4 linked regions of the Caenorhabditis elegans genome follow. The protein of the gene in region 4 purifies or fractionates together with the protein of the main gene of each other region. This does not show direct contact. Each region holds a gene or a part of one and is shown on either strand. Other genes may lie near its edges. The genes, in order: Y38A10A.7, F48E8.3, mek-2 and ZK632.4.

Region 1 (3,074 bases), on a different chromosome or scaffold from region 4:
ACAGAAATAGTACATTTTCAGCCCTACCTTTTAGTGCGTATTTTATTAGTTAATGAAAACTACCATTAATAGGCAAAAATAGATGGATTTTCCAAACTTTGAAAATTCATAAATCTCTTCAAAGTAATTTTTTTTGAAATGACTTTCAGAAACTTTGTAGTAAATTTTAAGCTCTTTTAGAATATATTAACAATATTTCAGTAGGTACAAGAAGCTTCACGTAGTTACAGAAATAGTACATTTTCAGCCCCACCTTTTAGTGCGTATTTTATTATTCAAAAAAACTACCATTTATAAGCAGGAGATCCTCTGTTGACGTTAGCACACTCTTCACTATGCGAAATCAATTTAGAAGACTGCGTCTAAATTCCCGCAATTTTCGAAGATCAAACCGAGATGGGACATTCTGACACTACGTGCACAGTTGATCGTTTGTTAATATGGCCTGGTTTTTCCGCGTAGGTTTCGATGCTTTTTTCAGTTCATGATTGCACAAATTTGTTACATTTATGCATCCATCGAACGAAATTAAACCTAAATCAACAAATAAACTACCAAATATAGAGGGTAATTATTTATATTTATGAAAGTGGAGTTCAGGTCGCTGCGAGACTGTAAAGTTGGTAAAGTGTTAGATTCTGGCGGAACATTCCCTTTTTCCAAATCTTTGAAGCCTCCTAACTTCGCCTTATTGCGAGAACACTAAATTCTGAGAATACGTATTGCGCAACCTATTTGACGCGCAAAATGTCTTGTAGCGAAAACTACAATAATTATTTAAATGGCTACTGTAGAACTTGTGGCGATTTACGGGCTTGACTCTCGAAACGAATTTCAGTTTGAAGTATGACAGCAATTTTAATTTTCGTCCATTTTTTGAGACCCGAAGAACTCGGGGGATGTCCAATTGGGGGGATTACCAACTCGGGGGATTGGCCCCGCCCACAGAACCGTGGCTTGCAATACGCCCATTTCTGCCGCACGGTTTTTCATAACTGCCGCACGGTTTTAAAATTATTTTTTCTTGTTATTTCTCGCTCTATTGAGAAAAATACAGTTTTAAAACCGTGCGGCAGTTGCAGAAATGGGCGTATTGCAAGCCACGGTTCTGTGGGCGGGGCCAATCCCCCGAGTTGGTAATCCCCCCAATTGGACATCCCCCGAGTTCTTCGGGTCTCAGACTTCTGAACTTTTCGCATGGTTAAGAACGTGCTGTCGTAACACTTTTTGTATATTTCTATTAAACATCGTTTTTTATGCTGGATAGCTGTTTTATTTCTAATAATAAAAATTGAAAATATCTAACTAGCATTCAATTTCAGATGATACAGCGAAGAATGACCCTGAAAATATTAGCTAGGAGACATATTACAACTTAAAACATACGAAATGTAAATTTGTTTCCGATTATCAACAAAATTGTACATTTTAACGATATTTTTATCAATAAAGACTAATTTTTACATATAAATGTTAATTTAAAGCAAATCCGTGACTTGACGTGATGGTGTTTGCACACTTTTCACCACAATATACGACATTCAAGTTATATGCATTTTTTTCAAATGATTCTATCCTTTCTTTTCAGTATTCTTTACGGTTTTATTGATCAATTTGTCACCAGTATAATCGATCATGTTTTATTTCTCAATAATTGTAAAACAATTTTTCAGATATCGGCCCAAAAATGCCCGTAGACTCGAAAAAATTGGTCAAAAAAGCTTGTCAGCACATAAAACCAGTTGAGAAATTCGAATGCGAGACACAAAGAAGTACTACAACTGATGGGTAGGATCTTTGAATGATTTTCAAATTAATCTTTATTATTTTCAGCGAAACTATCAAATTCGATTACATGTGGGCGACACATTTGAGTGATGAAGACTTCGAGTGGGTGTTCAGTTTATTCAAAGAGAACATGTACGATATGTATCACAAATCCCAGTGGGGATACGATGAAAATTCCAAGCGAAACGAACTTCGTGCAACAACATCAAGGTTCATCATCGCGAAGAATTCGAAAGGGGATAAAATTGGCTATACCACTTATCGATTTGTGGTCGATCACAACATTCCTGTGGCATATTGTTGGGAACTTCAAATTGTACCGGCTTATCAGAACAAAGGAATCGGTGGCATGATGCTCGACACGCTGGAAAAGCTCTCTTCAAAGTACAGTTTCAATTAATTCGAGAGCCAATAAACAAAAACTCTTATTTTCAGGACAAACATGAGTAAAGTCATGGCAACAGTTTTTCTGTATAATGGACCGTCGCTCGGCTTCTTTCACAAACATGGATACAACAGCGACGTGACGTGCCCATCCGATGATTCTGGTCTGGATTATGCGATCCTGTCGAAAGAGACACCGAGCACATAAGAATATTAAATTCTGATTCTATGATTTTCTAATTTGTTATCATCTTCATTCTGGCTTAATTGTTACATGTATTTTTTTTTGGGTAAACAAACGTTTTTTATATTTCTACTTTTATAATATTGTGTCGTAAAAACCGTTACTTTTCGTTCAAATATTTATTTTCAAACCAAAATATAAACATTTTTGTAATAATCTTTGTAGATGCCTCATCCTTGGAACACTGCCGATGCATTAGACGATAGTCGGGTACAAGTTGAGCACATTGATTTAGTTCCTCCAAAGTATGCAAATGTACTCAACTTCAGATCTATTAAAACTAGAGATTATTATTTTGGTAAACCATGTTCTGGGCAATTAAATATTTCAATAACTTTTCTTCAGCAATGAGAGATCGTCATCAGCAGTTGGGCGCAGTCACATCTTCAAAAGCTGAAACTGACAAATTGAATAAACACTGTGAGGAGAACACGATAATGGTGGATCAAGACGGAGTAGAAACTCCAGCTGATTATGGAACAGAGAGGATGGTTGCACATGCAATAGAAGATCACCGACTTGCCGCCAATTTGCAACGAATAAAAGTTCATATTCTGAATGCAGTTCAACAAAAATCAATTCAAGCTATTCGTGACCGCCGAGGACTTCTAGTGGATGCTCCAACTGGAATCGGGAAGACTTATGCGTTTCTTATTCC
Region 2 (5,273 bases), 4.3 Mb from region 4:
AAAAATATAAACCATTTTTTCATGAAAAACCATATAAAAAATCCACAAAATGATACGGCCACCCTTGGTTTTCGTTTTCTTTTTTCGTTTTCTTTGCAATTTTTTTTGCTAAACGTTAAGTTTCATGTTCGTTTGTGTTTTTACAGCTATGGGTCGTGGAATAACTTCAACTGACTACGAAAAAGGACAAATTGTGCCAAATTATCTCAAGGCTTCTCGAATCGTCAGATTTTTCGTGATTTGAAACTTTCGAGAGATATGATCACTCGATATGCTTCCAATCCTGCCGCTTATTGCACAAAAAAGTCTTCTGGTCGCACACCTTTTCTTTCTGTCAGACCCAAAAAAAAAACCGTTCGTCGAGCATCCAATTGAACAGTGACTTGCTCGAAAAGTAGGAGCGAGATGAACCTGGCAGTGTCTGTTGAGGCCGTACGACATGTTCTTTTGAAGTCTCAGTTTAACAAAAGACGAAAATTAAGAAAGGCTCCATTCATTACCAAAAAACCGCCAAAACCGTATTCAGTTTGCTAAAATCAGTCAGGGAACTAACTGAAGACAAGTGAGGATTACGGTATAATCATTCAAGCCCAGTTTTTGGTTTCAGTTCATCTTTTCTTTTCTCAAATCGTGCCACTAATCACGGTAGTAATCTGGTTCATTACAGTTAAACTTTTTCTCGTCACTGAAGATGAACTGAAACCAAAAACTGGGCTTGAATGATTATACCGTAATCCTCACTTGTCTTCAGTTAGTTCCCTGACTGATTTTAGCAAACTGAATACGGTTTTGGCGGTTTTTTGGTAATGAATGGAGCCTTTCTTAATTTTCGTCTTTTGTTAAACTGAGACTTCAAAAGGACATGTCGTACGGCCTCAACAGACACTGCCAGGTTCATCTCGCTCCTACTTTTCGAGCAAGTCACTGTTCAATTGGATGCTCGACGAACGGTTTTTTTTTTGGGTCTGACAGAAAGAAAAGGTGTGCGACCAGAAGACTTTTTTGTGCAATAAGCGGCAGGATTGGAAGCATATCGAGTGATCATATCTCTCGAAAGTTTCCAAATCACGAAAAATCTGACGATTCGAGAAGCCTTGAGATAATTTGGCACAATTTGTCCTTTTTCGCAGTCAGTTGAAGTTATTCCACGACCCATAACTGTAAAAACACAAACGAACATGAAACTTAACGTTTAGCAAAAAAAATTGCAAAGAAAACGAAAAAAGAAAACGAAAACCAAGGGTGGCCGTATCATTTTGTGGATTTTTTAAATATGGTTTTTCATGAAAAAATGGTTTATCTTTTTTACAAACGGTTCAGGTATATTTCCAATACTTATCTGAAAGTAAGTTAGTACAGCGAACATTTTCACAAGAAACTATGTTTTGCTATCTCAACCCAGTTTTGAGTTATACCAAAATTTGGGGTGGCCGTATCATTATGTGGAGCACTGTAGTATCGATACTACTAGATCAAAAGTAAATGTGAATAGTTACGGTTATGAATTATTGATTGTTTTTCCCCATCACTTTTTTTTCATGCTTCCCAGATGCCTTATCCATGTGAATATATTTATTCAAAAATCAGCTTTAATTTATTTTATATTTTCCCTTTTTTTCGGTTTTTCTCCTATGTTAGACATTCCATAAATAATGGGTTTTTAAAAAATAATTCTGTCTAATTTTTTCGGCGGTTTTAACCAATTTTCTATCATTTTCTATAATTTCCCTTTGTGTCCGTTGTTGAAATTTCCCCATTGACAGACATTTGATGATTCGGGTGCTCATTTCGCTTACAGTTATGGCTTCTGTGCTTCATGCTGAGCCAACTGTCGTTGTTGTTGGAGGTGGGCTCGCCGGGCTGTCTGCTTCACTGGATATTATCAATGGAGGTGGACGTGTGATTTTGGTAGAGGGAGAGGGAAATACTGGTGGAAATTCAGCGAAGGTAAGATCTTGCGAATTTTTGAAAAAAATCTATTTAACTTCTGGAAATATCGATTGTTAAAATTTATTTTCTCGCATTTTTTTGTTCCAAATTTCTGAAAAAGTTATTTATTTTACTATTAGTTGCAAATTGTGAAAAAAAATAATATTCTGTTTTTTTTCCTTTAAAACTGAAACGTCTCTGAAAAAATATGATAAATTAAAAAATTTCGATTGTAAGAAATTTTCAAATTTAAAAACAGTTAAATCGTGTGAAAAAGCTGGAAATAAAAAAAAAGAGTAACAAATTCTCGTTCTGAAAAATTTCAAAATTAAGTATGCCAAATTACAGTAAAATGTTTTAGTAAGTCTAGGTGATTTTTAAAAAAAGTGTCCAATATCCTCACTTCTTGAAAAAAATATTCCAGGCATCCAGCGGAATCAACGGTGCTGGAACCGAAACTCAGGAGAAACTGGGAATCAAAGATTCGCCGGAACTTCTTGTCAAGGACACTCTGAGTGCAGGAGACTCTGAAAATGACAAGAAACTTGTGGAAATTCTGGCTGCTAATTCAGCAGATGCTGTTGAATTTCTGCGTGGAGTTGAAGTGGATCTGACTGATGTGAATCTATGTGGTGGGCATTCTGTACCACGTACTCATTGGATTCCATCTCCAAAGGAAGGACGACCAATACCAGCTGGTTTCGAAATTATGAAGAGATTGAGAACAAGGCTTAATGAGAAGCAATCGGAGAATCCAGAAGCCTTCAAGCTTTTGACTCAGACTAAAATGGTTGGAATTTTGAGAGAAAATGGAAAAGTATCGGGAATCGAGATTGTAACATCAGCTTCTGGAGAGAAATCAAAGATCATCGGAGACGCTGTAATCCTTGCAACCGGTGGATTCTCTGCTGATGAAACTTTGCTCAAGGAATTTGGAGCTGAAATATTCGGATTCCCAACAACAAATGGAGCATTCGCTAAAGGAGATGGTGTGAAAATTGCGAGAGCTCTTGGAGCAAAGATTATTGGAATGGAAAATATTCAGATTCATCCTACAGCGTTTGTAGATCCAAAAGATCCATCAGCAGGAACAAAGTTCCTGGCGGCTGAGGCTATTCGTGGAAAAGGAGCTCTGCTTATTAACTCAAAGGGACAAAGATTTGGAAATGAGTTGGGAAGACGCGATTATTTAACTGGAAAGATTCTTGAGCTCGCTGAGCCAATTGAAGAGAGTTTCCAAGGAGGATCTGCTGGAAGAAATGCGGCGATTATGATTATGAATGAAGCAAATGTTGAGGCTTTTGGCAGACCTGCTTTCAATTTTTATTCGATTGTTAAGAAATTCTTTGGTAGGTTTTTTTCTGTGAAAAAGTTGGAAAACATTTTTTAAATTAGTTGTTTGTTATTTGAAAAATCCCAAACAATTTTTTTCAAATTTCATTTTTTTTTTCGAAATCCATTAACACTTCTCGAGAATAAGTTCGACAAAATCTTCGTATTAAAAATTCCCAGTTTAAAGATTTTTTTGTCGAAAATTTTATCAGCTTCCTTTTTTTTGGAGTTTAAAAGCATTTTAAATCCAAAACTAATTTTTTTTTCCGGAATTTCTGAAATTTTTAAAAATTCCCTTTTTCAAATTAATTTTTTTAATTTTTAGTTTTATATTATGAAAATTGTATTATTGCTCTGAAATCTGATTTTTTTCAGCGAAATACGAGAACTCCGCGGAGCTTGCAAAGGCTTTGGGTATCGACGAATCAGCTATTAAAACCACTTTGGAGGAATATCAGAAGAGTTTTGATGGAAAATCTGAAGATCCTTTCGGCAAAAAGGTATTCAAATATTTTTAATTTTAAAATTCTTGAAAAAATGACTAAGAATTCTGAAAAGTTGATCAAAATTGCATTTACTTTTAAAACAGACTTTATAAAATCAGAAAAGTGAAAGAAAAACTAAAATTCATAGATTTAGGAAAAATTGTGCTGAAATTGTATTATTAGAAACTTTGAGTAAAACGTTGAAAAATATCGAGAAAATCTTTCCCCGAATATTTGACGATCTATTTTCAATTTAAACTTTCCCAAGCCTAAATTTTTTTTCAAAATTAAAAAAATATCGTTCAGCAAAAAAAAATATCGAAACTGTAAAAACAAAGTTATTTTTGCATCGGAATTAGCCGAAAAATACCGAAACTGTAATAATTTCCCATTTCCAGGTGTTCCCAGTGTCTGCAATCTCTCCGACTGAGCCAATCTACGCAGCAATCGTCGTCCCAGCAATCCACTACACCATGGGTGGCCTGAAAATCGACGAGGCCACCCGCGTCATCGATGAGCATGGCAAGCCAATTGTCGGCCTTTTTGCCGCTGGAGAAGTCACTGGCGGAGTTCATGGTTCCAATCGATTGGCTGGAAATTCCCTGCTTGAATGTGTGGTGTTTGGCAGAATTGCTGGAAAATCTGCGGCTCAATCTGCTGCGGAGACTCGTACCGAGCTCTAATTCGAATATTTTTACAGAAAAAACTCAGTTTTGTGGCTCAATTCTACAGTATAATTCAGAAATTTTCAGTTAAAAAAAACATTTTTTCGCGATCCGGGATTCCCGGACCCCTGTAGATAATGATTCATTTACTAGTTCCAACCAACTTTATATGTTTTTATTATATCTACTACTCTATTCAGCATTTTTATTTTTCTTGTGATTTGCATCTTTATGGGTTCTTCTACACATATATTTATTTCTCATTTTCTCTTCATTTTCACACTCTCTCGTATTTATCGTGTTTCCTTCTTCGTATTGTGGTGTGTTTTTGGGTAATAAATGTGTTTTATTTTCAGAAGAAGCGGCAGACGATGATGATCAACGATGACGATGAGACGTTCGATGACCAATATCCAGCAGATGAAGTGACCGCAGCAACGATGCGTAGACTTGCTTTTGAAAAAATGGATGATGATTATTATCTCGGTGGAGCTGTTGGGGATGAAGTTTTTGATTCAGAGGATGATGTGAGGTAAATACACTGGAAAATGGGAGAAATTGTAATCAATGCCAAAAAAAGGAAATGCACAGCGTAAAAATTTTGGAAAAAAAAACTATTTTTCACTAAAATCACATGAATTTCTAAGTTTCCACCTTTTAAAAAAATCAGACACCGCTCGCAGGTTACGGTAGCAGTAATCCCCGACGCAGCTGAAATTCTTGCTACAGTACTCCATGCAGAAGTATTCAAAGAAAACGACCTTTTTTGGTTACTGTAGCTAAATTTTAATATGTTGGTTCAATAGAAAATCATTTTTGAGAAATATCCCTACTTCATCGAAAAATCAAGTTTTATTTCAAA
Region 3 (4,962 bases), on a different chromosome or scaffold from region 4:
CAAGGGATGTTCACTGCGCGGGGCGCACGGAAATTGCGTGCGCAACGATGAGACGCAGCGCACACAGAAGTGCGCGACTTGCCGTTTCGTTCCACCACAGCGGCCGCATATAAGCACTCGGGGGCAACGGCAAATGACTGTGTAGGCTTCTTCTTCTTATTCTTTTGACACTTCTGACATTTTTCATTTCCCTTCTTCACCTTTGATTCTTTGTTCGAATATTCTAGAAAATTCATAGAATTTCAGATGGACGAGAAGAGCAAGGGATCGTTGCGAAGTGTGGCGTTCGTCGCCGTCACATTCTCCACAGTCGCAGTGACTGCTGTGCTTATCGCTTTCCCATTGGTATTCCACTATGTGCAGACCCTTCAAGCTTCCGTACAAGGAGAGGTTGAGTACTGCAAGTCCCGATCTCGGGATATGTGGCGTGAGATGGTCGAGGTTGCACCGGAAGGTGCTGATGATCCACTTGATGTTCTGCTCAGAGCTACACGTCAAGCTGATGCTCAATGCTGCACATGCCAACAGGGACCACCAGGACCAGATGGAGAGCCAGGAACTCCTGGAAAAGACGGAGAACCAGGTCAAGGACCAGGAGAGCCAGGACCACCAGGACCTGATGCCGAGCTTCATGATCGAATTCTCCCGGTTCCACCACAATGCCCATGCACTGCTGCTCCAGGACTTGGAGGACCACCAGGACCACCAGGACAAGATGGAATTCCAGGTAACCCGGGAAGAAACGGAGAGGATGGAGCTCCAGGACCACAAGGACCATCCGGACCACCGGGACCACCTGGGCAACCAGGACAGCCTGGACAACGCGGACCACCAGGAGAGCCTGGAGCACTTCTTCCAGGAGGAGACGCTCCACCAGGCCCATCCGGACCACCAGGACGGCCAGGAGCACCAGGACAGCCAGGAAAGGCCGGATCTCCAGGACAAGACGGAAGCAACGGAGACGCCGGAGTTGCTGGAGAGCCAGGTAAATTATCATGATAAGCTAGGCTTCTTCTTCTTCTTCTAAACGTTAAATTTGTTTCAGGACAACGCGGACCACCAGGACCACCAGGACAAGCCGGAACTCCAGGATCGCCAGGAGACGCCGGATCTCCAGGATCGTGCGAGCACTGCCCACCAGCACGTCTTGCTCCAGGATATTAGAAGCTTATGCGAGTCTGTCTGTACATTTTCGAATAAACTATATTATTTTTTCAATCGATATGTCGTAGTTGTCCATTTAATAAAAAAAAGGGTGAAGAGGCTTGTGAAGCACGGTGAGCTCAGGTATCGCCAGGAACCTCTGGAAAGAGAACTAGGTCAAGAACCAGGAGAGCACCGTGAGCTTCTGTTGGAGGTATTGGGGGAGCACAGGAGAGCCTGGAGTGCTTCTTCCAGAAGGAGACACTCCAGCAAACCCAACTAGGCCATCAAGACGGACAGGAGGCTCACGGCATCCTGGAAAGGGCAGATCTCCAGGACAAGACGGAAGAAGTTGAGACGTCGGAGCACGTGGTGCCAGGCTGCCCCGTTTTGGTTTGATCTACCGAGATCTACAAAAAATGCGGGAGTCGAGACGAAGAATTTTCAGCTGACGTCACATTTTTTGGGGAAAAAATTGCCGCATTTTTTGTAGGTCAAACCGTAATGGGACAGCGGACAGACACCACGTACGGAGTTGCTGGAGAGCAGGGTGAGCCAAAGATTTCGTTTAAAAATCCAGAATGACGAGCTTTTTATTGGACGATCTTCTGAATATGTTCAGCCAGGAACCTCTGGAAAGACGGACTTCCAGGTGCTGGGAAGAAGGACGGAGCTTCAGGATCACAAGGATCATCCGGACCATCGGCAGAGCCTGGAGCACTTCTCCCAGGAGGAGGGCAAGCCGAATACCAGGATTGTGCGAGCACTGCCCACCAGCGAGCTCAGGGACCGCCAGGAACCATAGAAAAGTCGGAGAATCAGGTGATCCAGGATCACCAGGACGAGCTTCGTGATTGAACTCTCCCGATTCCGCCATAATGCCCGTGAGCTTCTGGACCACAGGAGAGCCTGGAGAACTTCTTCCAGAAGGAAACGCTCCAGCAAGCCCACCAGGACATCCGGGAAAGAGCAGATCTCCAGGACAAGACGGAAGCAATTGAGACGCCGGAGTTCGATCTTCTGAACAGGATCCGCCAGGAACCTCTGGAAAGACGGAATTCCAGGTACCGGGAAGAAGGTCGGAGCTTCAGGATCACAAGGATCATTCGGACCATCGGCAGAGCCAGGTACTCCGAGTAGAAGCTTGGTCAGATCGACAATGCGGATCACAAGGACAAGCCGAATCCGAGAATCCTGCGAGAACTGTCCACCATATCATTTTCCAACATACCCGCACATTTTCCAATAAACTATTACCTTTTTCAAAACTATATCAAGTGAAAGCCCATCCATATACTCCATACAAATTGATATATCGTTATTGTCCACAAAAGCCCCGTAGAATCCAACAATGAATGGACTATTGCACTTGTGAAGTACGGCGAGCTCTTTGACGATCTGTTGTCGGACTGACGGCTTGATCTCGAGGTGTACAAGCTTCCGAGCCATAATTACACCGGTTTTTCGATGAACACACTGAAAAATTGAACTTTTTATTTCCAAATTCCAGCTTATTTCAGCAAATTCCAACCTTATTAACAACTCCTCCATTTCCATGGCCAAGTTCTCCTTCAGTCTGTAGCATATCCTCACTCAACTCCTTGATGCCCTCCTTGACCTGCAAGAATTCGCTGAGCCGTTGAGTTTGTGGCTCCGTGAGCCCGAGCTTTTTCAGCTGTTCTTCTAGTGGGACTGTCGCGGTGGCTTCTTCCTGGAAATTTATATTTTTTAAATTCAATATTTAAAAATTAAAAATAATTTTAAATTATTACCGCCGTCGCCTCGCCACTTTCACTTTGTTCATTTACTGTCGGTGGTAGACTGAGTCCCAACGGATTACGCCGTTTTCCGCTCGACATTATCTGGAAAATAGTTGGATTTTATTTTAATCGAGAGGTTTTTTTTAGAAAAAAAACGAGGAAAATTCCAAGAAAACTTATGAAAAACTGGGGAAAATGGGAAAATTTAGCGATTTTTGGAGTCTAATTCAGAAAATACTCAGAACTATTTAATTTTCTAAAAATTAGTCAGGAAATATTAAAAATATTTAGTTTCTTTGGTAATTTTAACTGAAAGCAGAGTTTTTTTTCAGAAATCAAAGGTGGAGTACCGAAATTTGAGACTTTGTTTTTTTAGACGCAAGTTGGTCCAAAACTACCGAATTTCGTAATGAAACATTCTGAAAATTTCTCAAAAAAAAGTTATGACGGTCCAAAGTTCGGCAAAATAAGGCCAACTTTCAGCTAAAATCAAAATTTTTTCCAACTTCTCGGTGTCGCAACGTCTGGAACCTAATTTTTATTTATTCATCACTTTTTAATAAATATTGTGGTCTTTGATTGGGCGTTTATTCGTTGTTTTAAGCATATTTCTGGCCTTTGGGGCACAAATAAAAGTTACATTTTGTGCCCACTGACCATAAATGTACTTAAAACAACGAATAAAAGCCTAATAAAAGACCGCAATATTTATTAAAAAGTGATAAATAAATAAAAATTGGGTTCCAGACGTTGGGCCTTAATTTTGTGGGCCTTAATTTGCCGAACTTTGAACCGCCATAACTTTTTTTTGAGAAATTTTCGAAACGTTTCATTACGAAATTCGGTAGTTTTGGACCAATTTGGGTCTAAAAAAGCAAAGATTCGAATTTCGGTACTTCACCTTTAAAGAGGGTTTTCACTTAAATATACTCAGAATGACCTAAAATTACATATTTTTAAAAAATTCCAAAACTGTTTTTTGGCGTGTTTTTGAAGCAAAAATTGCTAAAATCCTACATTTTGTCAACTTTTCCTTGTCGCAGTGTTTTTTCAATGCTTGAGACCATTTTTGGGTGGCAAAAAGCCAAAAATTCTAAAAAAATGAAGATAATTCAATGAAAACTGGATTTTTAGCCGCTGATTTTAGCAAATTTTGGTTTTTTTTTTTCGAATTTTGATTCGCCATACACATTTTGGAATTTTTTCGAGCTATTTCGAGCCAATTTGAGTGAAAACCTATACAATTATAAATTTCCACGTGATTTTAGCCGTCTGAAAAAAGGGAAAATAAAAAAAATTTCGCGATTAATTTCTTCCGAAACAACTAGTTTTCTCTGAAATCGAGGCAAAAACGTGATGAATTGATTGATGAATATAACCTGTCGTGAAGTGGCGATTTTTGAGAACAGGTGAAAAAAAAGCACGGCTCTCTAGCTTATTGACTGCTTTTCCGGACTGCGAGAGCTCGGTCAAGCGAGAAGAAAAGAGAAGAAGGCGATGAGAGATGCGGGGAGCCGCTGCTGGAGCAAGAAAAAAGAGAGCAGAAAAAGCGCCTAAATAATTAAAAATTTAATCGAAATTGAGGAGGAGAGGAAATTTGAGAGGGGGATGACGGCTCTTTTGTTGCTTTTTTCTTCGAGAAAATGTGATTTTTATTGAGATTTCAGTGGATCCGTGCCAAAAACGGGGATTTTTGACCTGCTAATCGGATAATATAAGTCTCGATGAGAGGAATTATATAGAAAACGGGGATTTCTACGTAGAAGAAGGGACTTTCTCCACGATTGGTGCTTCTTTTGATGAAAAAAATGGAAAAATACCATTTTTCTGCAAATTTTTCATTTCAGAACAATACTGCCTGATTTATTCGATTTATTTCAGCTTTTTTGTCGAAAAAACAGAGATGAGAAGAGATAAAGAGCAAACAATTCCAAGACGCATCAGTAGTCTTTTTTCCGATTTAAATCGATATTTCTTGGAAATATAAGCTTATTAGACGTTTTAAGACGTGCATTTCACGAAAAACACCGAAAAAAACACGAAAAAAGGCCAAAAACTG
Region 4 (4,356 bases):
ATCTGAATTCCCGTGAAATCAATCCCCAATCATCAACTGGATATACATTCGCTGTATTGTTTGCTGAAATTTCATAGTGTTATTTTAAAAAACATTTTTAGTATTTCTTACGTGGTGATATCTCATCTTTTTCTGCCACTTTGCGTGTTCTCAGTGCTGGAGAAATATCCCATGCTAATTGTGGAATGTTATTTCGTACAATTGGTTTTGAATATAATCTGTATTTATATTCACCATCGATTCGTACCATCTGTAATTTGAATTAATTTATTCTGGGATTGAAAAATATAAAAATGAGCAGTTTTCTAGAAGATTTCTCGAGAAAAACCTTACAAAATTTGTGAAAATAAAAATTTACCAATTTTTGGGACAACGAGACTTCTTTCAAGCTATTCTCAAAATCCTCATCTGACAACCGGGAAGTTGCGACCAGCACAAAATAGTGGAGAGCATCATCCTGTTCTTCCAGCTGATCTAAAAATATTTAAACTCAAACAAAAATTGCTTTAAACTATAGATGTATACCTAGGACTTCAGAGACAACCGGGCGAAATGCTTCTAGCTTTAGAGTAACCAGCCGTTCATTCAAATCATCCGTCAATTCGTGAGCTGTCAACTGAAATTTTGAATTGAGCTCCAAGATGTTTCTTTTGAAGAATTGTCAAACCTACAGGATTCCCGTTTGAGTCTCGTAAGGGCTGATTTTTATTGATCAGATAGAGACACTCCAAATCTGATATTGTTTGGCACTGTTGCACATTTTGTTCCCCATGTATTAGAAAGCTTAATGTGCTTAGCATTTCTGAAAAAAACAATTTAAAAAGGATTCAGTTTTATTGAAATTAGAAAAAAAAACAGTGGCAATTGAAAAAACAACAAAAAAACATTAGGAGGAGTTTAGTAGAGCACGCCTGCATCACACTTTATGGAACATCAGTCTCAGTAGAAATGAATCCACCATTATGACTAAGTTTTTAGAGTATTAGTTGCCATTTATATAAAGTTTTTTAAAAATATTTTATGCTACTGTAAATTTTGTATTGTTTGAATTTAAATTTATAAAATTTACATCTTTACTCATAGTTCTCGACTATTGAATATTAGAACATGCACTTCTACGGAACATTTTTTCCATTGTTTCCATAGAGCCTGTAAAAACCATTTTTTGTGAAAAAACTTGTTGCTTTCAAAAATAAATAAACTTTCATCAAAGTTCTATTCTGATTCTCTGAAATAATTTTTCATTAATTTACACTTTGTTGTTCGATCTTTTGTGACCTTCATTGGCTAAGAAATGTCCCGATTTTTGTATTTAAAAACCACTTCCGGCATTAACCTGCTTCAAAATCAGCGATCAAGGAATTTCTCAGTTTTGCCGCATGTTGTCGTCGCCATGTTGCGTGCGTTCATCGTGTAAATAATCACCGAGAATACGATCTATCTCTCTCTTATGATCCCACCCATAAATCTGTCTCCGACAATCATTTGATTTGTCTGAAAATTTACGACCTTTCTCTACAATTAGTTTAGGCAGTCACGTTGACGCAATCTCACACGCATACCCACTCAAGATATGAAAAAAGTCGACGGTCGCACTCGTTTTATAGTTCTGATCTCAGCGTTTTCAATCTGCGTCTCCGAGCCTCTCGGTCATATATATGTATTCCGTGTCTTCCAGTTCGGAAGTCTTTTTCTCTTGTCTTATGGTCAACTTATGACTGATTATATTTAGTCACGTGTCGATTTTAGCGCATGCGTTGATCAGAGAAAACTAGAGAGATCAGTCGTTTACCGTCATTTTGATGCATTATATCTTTTATTTTCTCCCTAACTCATATTTCGAACATAATCTGTTCTCTCAAAACATTTCTTCCATAATTCATGTTTTCAGATGCTTCTGAAGCTAAAGTGCACTGTCAATAACTACGCATGGGGACCCAAAGGAAATTCTAGCATGGCTGGAAGTCTTGCATTAGATGGTGGTCATATTCCAAATCTTGACAAAGACAAACCATACGCTGAAGTGAGTAATGAAACATGTATCTATTTCCGTTCTAATTAAAGCGATTCTCAATCTATTTGTGGCGTCTTACCGTGGTTTCTGACCTTATGTCGTGACTTTCGAAGATTGTGTCGTCGATCACCTGATCAGATCGGCCTACATCACTCCCGAAACACGTTCTCTTTCATCATCTTTATTATTACAGTTCTGGGTGGGAACTCACGCTAACGGGCCGGCCCACGTCATCGAAAAAGACATCGCTCTTAAACAACTTTTGGCTACATCGCCAGAGTTACAGGGAAAACATGAAAAAGGTGAATAAAATAAATATTCTTTACTGTTCTGGCTTGGGAATGGTCTAACTGGCTTGAAACTTATGTAATTTGGAAGTTAAGAGATCAGCAAAAAGGAATATCCAATTCGATGTCAGCTTCCGAATGACATAAATTTCAAGCCAATTGATACATTTCAATTCCTTAAAGAACAACATGACCTTGTCAATAAATATTAATTATTTCTTTCAGGCAACCTTTCATTCCTCTTCAAAGTGCTTTCCGTTCTTGGACCACTCTCAATCCAAATTCATCCAACAAAAGAACAAGGAAAACTTCTTCATGCTACAGATCCGAAGAACTATCCAGATGACAACCACAAACCAGAGATCGCAATTGCTCTGACTGAATTCGAGCTTCTTTCCGGATTTCGGCAACATTCACAAATTAGTGAATATCTGAAATGTAATTATCACAATTAGATTATAAGCATTAAAATTTGCTTTTTTTCAGTGTACTCTGAAATTCAAGAATTGCTCACCGAAGAAGAGAAAAGTCAAATCGACAGTTTAGGATCTTATGGAGAGAGTTCTGCACAGGTTCTCAAAAAGATCTTCTCAAGAATTTGGCGAACTCCAAAGGAAAAACTTCAAATAGTTGTTGATAAACTTGCCAGACGAATTCAAGGACATGGTAAGCGATATTTTTGAATGAATATCTTCTTTTTAATTACTAAATTTCAGAAAACAAAACGGCTCTTGATGAAATAATTGTCTACCTTTTCACATTGTACCCTGGAGATGTTGGTGTATTTGCTCCAATTTTCTTGAACTACTTCAAATTACAACCTGGAGAGGCAACATTTTTAGAACCAAACATGCCACATGCTTATTTGAAAGGAGATTGTGTTGAGTGTATGGCAGACAGTGACAATACTATTCGAGCTGGATTAACACCAAAATATATTGATGTAGAATCATTGGTTGAAATGTTGAATTATGATGAGACCCTGCTTCCAAAATATATTCCAAATGAACTGGACGATGGATCACTACTATTTACTCCACGTGGAATTGATGAGTTCTGGGTGCAGGAAGTCAAAGGACCCGCTGGATCGATCTACCAACTTCCTTACTCCGAATCATGTTCTGTCTTGACGGTTCTCTATGGTACTGCAACAGTTACATTGGGAGATGCATCACAAGTATTGAATCGAGGAGAAGTCGTTTTCATTGGAGCTACACATGACGCTGAACGTCCCAAGATTAATATTTCTGATGATTTTCTTGCATTCCGAGCGTTCACACCATCACCAAGAGCCCTCGAAAGTCTTTCAAATAAGCGTCTGATTATTGATTAATTCAGAAATCTTTTTATGTCTTTATATAATTCACCACAGTTTTACGCAATGATTGTATTTAAAAATTAAACTTGCCATGCTATAGCTTCCACGTTATTTCAGCTAAAAATTGGAATTTTGGAATTTCAATTACATACAAAAGTGCTAGTCACTGTTTTTCATTATCTAGGGTTGTTCATAATAAATTTTTATTCCTTATTTTTCAATTCTTAATAATTATTTGAGGATTTTTATTCATTGTTTACATTACTTCCTTCTTTCTTACGATTAGCGCTGCCTGGCCGGTCGTTAAAATTTCAAATAATGTTCTATTCAATAATTTTCGGAGGTTTATTGTAAAATCCTGTATTTTATATTGAAAAAATGCTAAAATTGAACAATTATCAACAAAAAAAGGTTTTGTATTGGTTCTGCTAAATTATTGTGTCCTTCACGTCCCTAACATAAATAATTAGCATACCATACTTGGGTCTGCTAAATAGCTATGGTCTGCTAAATATTTAGCATACCATGCTTGGGTCTGCTAAATAGCTATGGTCTGCTAAACATTTAGCAGACCATATGGCCATGGCCGTTCAAACTACACCCTCGTCCCTCTGACAGGACAAATATTGATTGCATTGCGAAACATTCCACAACTGGACAAATTTTCAATTATTCAACAATACAATTGCCATTTTTTGATTTAATTTCGTTTCAGTAGATAGTTTGCCGTTTTCTCC

Evidence for each region.
Region 1: the proteins of ZK632.4 (region 4) and Y38A10A.7 fractionate together in Caenorhabditis elegans (co-fractionation; one large-scale study listed by BioGRID). This does not show direct contact.
Region 2: the proteins of ZK632.4 (region 4) and F48E8.3 fractionate together in Caenorhabditis elegans (co-fractionation; one large-scale study listed by BioGRID). This does not show direct contact.
Region 3: the proteins of ZK632.4 (region 4) and mek-2 fractionate together in Caenorhabditis elegans (co-fractionation; one large-scale study listed by BioGRID). This does not show direct contact.

Annotation. Positions count from the first base shown.
Region 1 is NC_003283.11:6,094,524-6,097,597, forward strand, and holds Y38A10A.7 (N-alpha-acetyltransferase 40), read left to right. Parts: upstream 1-1,673; 5' UTR 1,674-1,687; coding exon 1,688-1,788; intron 1,789-1,833; coding exon 1,834-2,172; intron 2,173-2,223; coding exon 2,224-2,380; 3' UTR 2,381-2,570; downstream 2,571-3,074. Other genes in the region: smut-1 (Synthetic MUTator), read left to right, coding at 2,582-2,714, 2,762-3,074.
Region 2 is NC_003281.10:5,459,616-5,464,888, forward strand, and holds F48E8.3 (fumarate reductase (NADH)), read left to right. Parts: upstream 1-1,763; 5' UTR 1,764-1,800; coding exon 1,801-1,947; intron 1,948-2,353; coding exon 2,354-3,278; intron 3,279-3,636; coding exon 3,637-3,761; intron 3,762-4,144; coding exon 4,145-4,429; 3' UTR 4,430-4,767; downstream 4,768-5,273. Other genes in the region: F48E8.2 (E2F-associated phosphoprotein), read left to right, coding at 4,783-4,943.
Region 3 is NC_003279.8:3,010,444-3,015,405, forward strand, and holds the start of mek-2 (Dual specificity mitogen-activated protein kinase kinase mek-2), read right to left. Parts: upstream 3,006-4,962; 5' UTR 3,003-3,005; coding exon 2,916-3,002; intron 2,855-2,915; coding exon 2,675-2,854; intron 2,620-2,674; coding exon 2,401-2,619; intron 1,223-2,400; exon of another isoform or gene 1,165-1,222; coding exon of another isoform or gene 1,046-1,164; intron 986-1,045; coding exon of another isoform or gene 247-985; exon of another isoform or gene 241-246; intron 176-240; exon of another isoform or gene 50-175; intron 1-49. Other genes in the region: col-48 (Nematode cuticle collagen N-terminal domain-containing protein), read left to right, coding at 247-985, 1,046-1,164. UniProt on the Caenorhabditis elegans protein: Functions in the let-60 Ras signaling pathway; acts downstream of lin-45 raf kinase, but before the sur-1/mpk-1 gene product in controlling vulval cell differentiation. Required for progression of developing oocytes through the pachytene stage.
Region 4 is NC_003281.10:9,804,990-9,809,345, reverse strand, and holds ZK632.4 (putative mannose-6-phosphate isomerase), read left to right. Parts: upstream 1-1,891; coding exon 1,892-2,023; intron 2,024-2,207; coding exon 2,208-2,316; intron 2,317-2,526; coding exon 2,527-2,739; intron 2,740-2,787; coding exon 2,788-2,967; intron 2,968-3,017; coding exon 3,018-3,634; 3' UTR 3,635-3,831; downstream 3,832-4,356. Other genes in the region: gtap-2 (Gamma-Tubulin Associating Protein), read right to left, coding at 1-63, 112-250, 359-474, 526-616, 672-800. UniProt on the Caenorhabditis elegans protein: Involved in the synthesis of the GDP-mannose and dolichol-phosphate-mannose required for a number of critical mannosyl transfer reactions.